Callithrix jacchus: one gene and its partner. The protein of the gene in region 2 purifies or fractionates together with the protein of the main gene of each other region. This does not show direct contact. Links are inferred from orthologs where the notes say so. Each region holds a gene or a part of one and is shown on either strand. Other genes may lie near its edges.

Region 1 (4,300 bases), on a different chromosome or scaffold from region 2:
AGAGATAACCACAGCTAATATTTGCATATACTCTTCCAGTCTTTTTTCCATGCATACATATGAATTAGATATTCGAATGAGAACTTTCCTAATGTACACAGGATTTGGTGTCCCAGTCTTATTTACTTAGCATTAAATCATTAGTATTTTTCTTTATGATCAAACAGTTTTTGAAAATATTATTTCTATGGCTACATACAATTCTGTGCTAACTCACTTATGTGACCACTTCATGTGGTTTGATGTTAGAGTTGAGGCTATTCCAACCAAGACTGCTCCTCCTCCTCCCCTTCCTCCTTCCTCTGGCCCACTCCCCTCTGAGTCCCATCACTGAGCACGCTCCTGCCCACAGGCACATGCCAGACAGAATGGTAGCCACAGGGCAAGACACCACCCTTGCCCTGGACAGGCTGCCTGTCCATTTGAGACATTCGACAGTTCCCCCATGAGAAAGCATCTGCACTCCCAGAAATAGAAGCCACAGGCCAGAGAGCCAGGAAGTGGAGGTAGGACAAAACATTTCCAGCTGGGGCTGAATGGCCAGTCCAAAAAGACCTTAGCGCATTCACCACGTGCCAGGGCCTCAGGCACAGCAGTGAGCAACGCGACGCTGTGGTCAGGGACAGCCAGCACCCAGAAGGATGCTGCATCCCCAAGTCTGGATCGAGGCTCCTGCCTGCCCTCCCGGAGCCCACTGCCTGGGAGGGAGAGAGACACTAATTAAATAACCTCACAAATAAACTTGGAATTATAACTAGCCCATGAAGAAGAGGTTGGGGGTGCTGTGAGCACCTGTAACCTAGGGTTCCCTTGGGAGGCGAAGCTGCAGCAGCCCATGGGGTGGAGCAGGTGCACAGAGGGACTGGAAGAGCACCTGTCTGGGGAGCAGAGGCCATGCAAAAGGCCCTAGAGACAGACAGAGGCCAATCAATCCCCTGCAGCCAAGCTAGCTCTTAATCCTCAGAGGACTGGGGGCGTTGAAGGCCTTTAAGCAGCAGCAGCTGAGATTGGATTTCCATTCTTAAGAGTTTCCGCTGGTTGTGGAGTAACTGGCTTGGGAGCCGCTGAGAGTGGGTAAAGGGGGATCGTTGAGAAGACTGCGTGCATGCTCGGATCCAGGTGGCAGGTCCCAGAACAGGGTAGGGCGAGCTGCTGGTGCCTTGCTAGGAACAGTGGCAGCGGGCAGGAAGACGGAAGGAGTGGAGAGATGTTTAGGAGCTGGAATCCGAAGGTCTGCATCAACGCTGTGACTCTCCAAAAGACGCTTGTTAATACACCTCTTAGCTTAGGACCGTTGCCCCATTAGCATGAGTAGGTCTGTGCTGGCAAGATGTCTCCTTAGACCGTGTCCCTTAGAGGACCTTCCAGTGAAGGTCGGAAAGAAAGGGAGTAGGTCAGGGCTGGATGCGGAGTTGCAGTGAAGGACACGGGCACCAGAGGGCAGCCCGAGGGTCTCGGGCACCTGCAGGAGCTAAGGCCCCAAAGACGGCCCGGCCAGCCGCGCACCTGCCTGGAGCCCTCGCCGGCCACTTTGCAGCGCCACCACTCAGCTTCGCGTCTGCTCCTGTAGACGGCGCCTGCACGCACGCCCTGGGCTGTCGTAAGAATGGCAGGTGGGAGCGCTTTGAAAGACGCTTCCAGCCCCGGGCATCTAGGAAAGGTGCCTGATGAGGTCTTGGGTAAGAGGCCCCCATCCAGTAACCCGCCTTGGGGCCTCCGGTGTCTGGCCTGGGCCCGTCATCTGCGTGTGTGACTGGTCCTGAAGACCTGCGGGCCGGCGGTTCGGGCTGCTGTCCTGCGTGTGCCTTCGGGTTTGCAGCTCTGGTCCTAATGGAGCAGGGACTGGGTCTTAGAACCCAATAACAGCTGGAGGTGGCTGATGCCGCGCACCCCCTCCCCCGGCGGGACACCCTGTGGTTAGTGGGGCAAACGCTTGGGTCTCTGCGTCTCGGTTTCCTCATCTGGCAGCCAGAGATGCCCACACCTACCTGCCCTGCTGGGTCGTCGGGGGTGTGGCCCACGGTGGGCGCTCGGGAGCAGTCGTGGCCGCGGGTCCTGTCAACTCCAGCCGTGTGTGGGTGGGCGAGGCCGTGGGCGTGGGGTTCCCCTGCCTCCTCCACGTGGACAAACTGCTGACAGTGGCGCAGCCACGTTGCCACGACTGGGGGAAACTGCCTTGGTTTCGGGTTTAATGAGAAAATGGATGTTTGGGTTTGGTTTCCTCTGGGGTTTGGCGAAGGCGTGTGCAGTTCGTCTCCACTCGCCGGGGCCGCTCTGGCAGGGGAACAGGCAGGGCGCTAGGACCCGGGGCGCGCTCGGACCCGGGGCGAGAAGCGAGGCCGGGACCGCGGTGAAAGGCTCGGGGCTGAGAGCTCGGCCGTCGCCAGGCAACGGCCCTGACGCAACGCGGGGAAAAAACGTCCCCTCTGAACGGAGCGAAAGGAGCGGCGCCGAGAATTCGCCGGAGCTGGGGAGGCGAGGCGGGAGCGCAGAGCTGGGGCCGGGCCGGAGCCGGGCAGCGCGGACCTGCGCAGGAGGAGGCGGCGGGGACCCCGGAGAGTCCCCAGCAGGGACCCTGGGCGCCCCGAAGGTGGGTTCGCGCCGGCGGCGGGGACTTTCCCAGGGGCTGGGAGGTGTGGCCGCGGCGGGCGGCGCGGGCTGGGCAGGGGCTGGGGCGTCGCGGGTCCCCGGCGGGAGCAGTGGCGCGGAGCAGCCCGATCCCCAGGCGCCCCGGAGGGGACGCGCGCCCACCACCCCCAGGAGAGGCCGGTCAGGCGCTCCCGCTCCTGCGGGCTCGCTGCCCTCCTCTGGGAGCCGGGCAGCCAGGGCCGGACTCATCTCCCAGCTCCCTGCTGGCCCTGTCCGGGCTCGGATTCTGGGTGGAGGGTCGGGGTCTGCCATCTGAGAGGGAGGGCCCCACGCAGCCTCTCCGGGTCCACTCCTAGGCGGCTGGTGACCTCCAAGCCCAGCCTGGCTCCTGTCTTCAGCCTTGGTGAGATGGAAGTTTCTGTCCTCACGAATTCAGTCCCTAACTCAGGAGAAGTGGCCCAGGGCACCTGGGCCCAAGGGTGCTCTAAGGACCCAAGCCAATGTGACCCGAGGGAAGGGCACAGCCCAGTGGGCCCCCGGGAATGAGTAGGTCAGCCGTGAAGCTGGGCACCCAGAGTCGCCGAGACACAGGACCACAGACCACAAGGGGTGGGGTGTCTTCTTCAGCTAAGTCAAGTTGGATGTATTGTTTTGCAAACCCCTTACTACCTGGTTTTTATTCCTAGTGGGGCTTGGAGGGAATTCTGAGGACTGGGACCTCCTGGGAAGATCTGGAAGGAGGATTGGCTCTTGGTTGGGGGCTCCTCATCATTGCTGGAGAATCCCAGATGAGGAGACCAGGTCCCCATCCACAGGGTTTTCCCCAAGGGACACGTGCTCCAAAGCAGCTTCCCATTGACAGGGAGACACAGTCCTGCCCCCTACTAAGCTCAGGATGGAGAGTGGAGAGCCTGTTTAAAGTCGGGAAAGCAGAGGTGCTGTGGCGCCTGTCGCCTGAGCTCCTCGGCAGGGTAGGAACTTCTGCTGCCTGGTTTGAAGGAGCTTGGAAAGCAGCCATGGGCTGTGCCTGGAGTGGATAAAGATGACAGCTCTTCTGTCTTGAGTGTATTTATGGATAGTGCATGACCTGGGAGCCCCTAGCATCCCTTGGTCACTCCATCCTCCCCATTGCCCTTCAAGGGGGCCCTATTATGCTTGTTTTGCCAATGGGACTCAGAAGTGGCTCCCACACCTGGTGAGAGAGCAGAGATAGTCAGCCCACGTGCCTGACTCCTGGGACAGTGCTCTCAAAGGAAGGCTGCTTTAGGAAGTCCGAGGCCCCTGAGGCCCAGAGAGAGGCAGAAACCACCCACACCCAGAAGAAATGAGAACTGTGCAGTGGGGCTCATCTCGTGACCTCAGAAGGTCCCCTGCCAGCTTGAGGAACCCTGTGGAGCTAGGAAAGCCATTTCTTCTATCAGGAGCTTGCAAGGCTGTGCCACCACCACTGCCTCAATTCTTCTCATCTGAAGCAGAAGAAAGGGTTGCTCCCCCACACCCTGTTCTCCTCCTTGCCTGCCCAGAGTCCCTAGACTCCCTGCGCACTTGCTCCTGTTCTTTTGGTCCTCCCAATTACATGCTTGGATTTCCACTTAATTGCCAGTCCCCGCCTTCCTGTCTACTAGCTTGGCCCCCCTCCAAGAGGGACTCTGGCAGGGAAATAAATTAAGGCCTTGCCTAACTATTTGCTGAGCGAGAGCCACAGAGCCCC
Region 2 (3,500 bases):
CCCCTGTGCAGAATGGGGGTGAGAAAGCAATTGAGGGAGGCGGGGAGCTGCAGTGCTGTGGGCTGAGGAGTGAGCTGAGGGCTGAGCCCCCGGCACCATCCTTGGAGGGAGGGAGGGAGGGAGGCAGGGAAGGAGGCAGAGGGGCCAGGCCCATCACTCCAGCACACATCTCAGCCCCAGCACTGAGATGTTTTAACATCAGCTGCCAAACAGATGTGCAGGTGCCTTGCACACATTACTGGTTCTGCCAAGGTCAGGGTCTCTTCCTCCAAACGTCCTGCTCCCCGCCCTTTACTCTGCAGCAGGCCCTCAGCCTGTCTTTGGTGAGCGTAACATTTTTGCAGCGAGCACTGCTGTTACTTTGCGGCTTGCTCCCGAGCTCGTGTCTGTCTGCTGCTTCCCGCTCAGGAGACTCAGTGCATGTCTTGGGTTGTCACACCACACAGAGGACATGGCATCCCTCTCAGGGCACCGTGTCCTGAGGCAGCTAGTGCCTGTTTCCTCTGCATGACCTTGTTTGTTCTTCTAAGTGAAAGTCACAAAACACCTTTTTTCTTTTTTTAAGTAATAACATAGAGGCAGGGCCTCTTTTGTTGCCCAGGCTGGTCTCCCAACTCCTGAGCCCAAGCCGTCCTCCCACCTCGGCCTCCCAGAGGATTTGGATGACAGGCATCAGCCAGCACACCAGGCCCAGGTGACCGAAGTGAACAGCTGAGTGACATTTAGAACGTTCACCACCTCTTTCTCTGAGAAACATCTCCATTACTCCAGGCTGGGCAGGGGTTCATGCCTGTAGTAGCAGCTACTAGCCAAGCTGAGGTGGAGGGATCACTTGAGGAGTTCAAGGCCAGCCTGGGCAATGTAGTGAGATCCTCTCTCTCAAACATAATAAATAAAAACATTTTCATCATTTCAAAATAAATTCCTGCCCCTTAAGCATTCTCTCCCTGTCACTCCCTCCCCTTAGCATCTGGGCAGTCCCCAGTTTTCTGAGATTTCCCGTTACGGACATTTTGTGGAAATGGAGTGCCCAGCCTTTCTATAGAAATTTTTTTTCCTCCCACACCCGCCCCCCCCCAGAAATGGTTTTGACCTTTTGTGCCTGGCTTTCACTTGGCAGACTGCTTCTGCGGTTCACCCCTGCCGTAGCATGTGTCAGTGTTTGGTTTTCATTGCTAAGTAATGTTCTCTTGTATGGACAGAGCCCGCCTTGTTTTCCCGTTCTTCCCCGGATGCCCGTTTGGGCCGTAGCACGTGGTGCTGGAACATGTGCACGTACTTGTCTCAGTGCCTGTCTCACACTGGGGTTTAGGAGTGGGATTGCGGGATGGATGTGGTGATTCTGTATAACTCGGAGGCGCCACCACACTGTTCTCTGCAGCCCTTGTAGCATTTCGTTTCCACCAGCAGCGCATGAGGGCTCTCACCTCACATCCTCACAGTACTTGTTTTTGTTTTTCTGTTTTCTTCTTAATAGTCGTCCTAGTGGCTGTGAAGTAGTACCTGAGTGTGGTTTTGATTTGCATTCCCCAAAGACTCGAGTATCTTTTCTTCAGCTTATTGGCCATTCCGTACCTTCTTTAGAGAAATGTCTGCTCAAGGCCTCTGCCCATTTTTGAATTTGTGGTTTGTCTTTCTGTGGATGGGTGGGAGCTCCTGTCGTGTTCTGAATAGGCTCTTGTGAGAGATGTGATTGCAGAGGTCTTCTCTTGTTCTACAGGTTGTCATTTACGTTCCTCATAATGCATTTTTTCTGCTTGCTTTTTTTGTTTTTTGATTCATAGTCTTGCCCTGTCGCCCAGGTTGGAATGCAGTGGTACGATCTCAGCTCACTGCAAGCGATTATGGTGCCTCAGTCTCCCGAGTAGCTGGGACTACAGGCACTTGCCACCATGCCCAGCTAATGTTTGTATTTTTAGTAGAGGCAGGGTTTCGCCATGTTGGCCAGGCTGGTCTCGAATTCCTGGCCTCAAACGATCCACCCACCTTGGCTTCCTGAAGTGCTGGGATTACAGTCGTGAGCCACCGCCCCAGCCTGGAACAGCCATCTTAGCAATATACTTACTCCATGAACATGGGATATTTTTTTTTTTTCAGCCATGTTTTATAATTTATAGTGTACAAATTTTTCACTCCTCTGGTTAAACTATTCCTATTATTTTGGATGCTATTGTAAATTGAATTTTTTTTCAGTTTCCCTTTCAATGTGCTCATTTCTGGTGTATAGAAATACAACTGACGTGTGTGTTGATCTTGTGCCCTGTAACTTGCTGAATTTGCTGGTTTTTTTTTTTTTGGATTCTTTTCTTTAGGATTTTCTATGTGTAGAATCACATCGTCTGCAAACAGAGATGGTTTTACTTTCTTTCTAACCTGGAATCCTTTTTCTTTCTTTCTCTTCCCTGGTTGCTCTGGCTACACCTAGTGCCATGTGGAGTGGTGGTGGTGAAAACAGGCATCCTTGTCTCGTTGCTGATCTTGGGGGAAGTTTTGTCTCTCACTACTGAGTATCGTTAGTGTTTCATCATTTGAGGGAGTTCCCTTCTATTCCTAGTGCTTCATGTTGGTGAATGTGGACTACTTGGTTACAGGTGTGCACCACTGCGCCCGGCTAATTTTTGTATTTTTAGTAGAGATGGAGTTTCACCGCGTTGGCCAGGCTGGTCCCTAACTCCTGACCTCGAGTGCCACCCACCCACCTTTGCCTCCCAAAGTGCTGGGGTTACAGGTGGGAGCCACTGCGCCCCGCCTCATCTGGTTTCTTCGCTACAGAGTTACTGTCTTTTGTAATAATTCCTGTATTATTTTTGAGTGGGGTGAGACATCAATTTGTGACTCTCACCAGCAAGCTGAAGGCCCCCAGGAATCACTGGTGTAGAAGCTTGTGTGTTCTAATGACACGAAAGGGGAAGAGCAGTTGCCACAGCTGTCCCTGGGCAGATATTTGCGTCCAGTTGGGCGCTGCCTCCCAGGGTAGGACAGCAGGTGCTCACCTGCCCTCTTCCTGTTCACAGCCGGATTCGGACTCCACCAAACACTCAACTCCATCGAACAGCTCCAACCCCAGCGGTCCACCGAGCCCTAACTCCCCCCACAGGAGCCAGCTCCCCCTGGAAGGCCTGGAGCAGCCAGCCTGTGACGCCTGAAGCCGCCAGCACGCCAGAGGGCCCAGGGAGCTGGGGATGGCCTCCAGCGTCAGTGCCAAGACTGAGTGGGCCCGCCAGTGTTGTCCAAGGAAATGTAGAATCACTTTGTAGATACGGAGATGAAGACAAATCTTTATTATAATATTGATCAGTTTTATGCCGCATTGTTCGTGGCAGTAGACCAGATCCGTTCGTCTGCACAGCTGTGAGGCAACATGTCCCGTCTGCACATGAAGGACCCCACACACCCCTCTCCCACCCCTGACAGCCCGAGAAGGCGTGTGGGGCCCTGCTAATGCCACTTCCTCAGCAGAAACCCGTCATAATACGGCTGCCTCGGAAGCAGACAGCTGG

The links.
Region 1: the proteins of CDC42BPB (region 2) and FAM167A purify together in Homo sapiens (co-immunoprecipitation; 3 studies listed by BioGRID and IntAct, counting the BioPlex papers as one, with this or other methods). This does not show direct contact. The link is inferred for Callithrix jacchus from reciprocal best matches to the Homo sapiens genes CDC42BPB and FAM167A.

What each region holds. Positions count from the first base shown.
Region 1 is NC_133514.1:10,604,713-10,609,012, forward strand, and holds the start of FAM167A (protein FAM167A), read left to right. Parts: upstream 1-1,500; 5' UTR 1,501-2,191; coding exon 2,192-2,590; exon of another isoform or gene 2,591-4,300.
Region 2 is NC_133509.1:137,829,737-137,833,236, reverse strand, and holds part of CDC42BPB (serine/threonine-protein kinase MRCK beta), read left to right. Parts: intron 1-3,014; coding exon 3,015-3,146; 3' UTR 3,147-3,500. UniProt on the Homo sapiens protein: Serine/threonine-protein kinase which is an important downstream effector of CDC42 and plays a role in the regulation of cytoskeleton reorganization and cell migration. Regulates actin cytoskeletal reorganization via phosphorylation of PPP1R12C and MYL9/MLC2.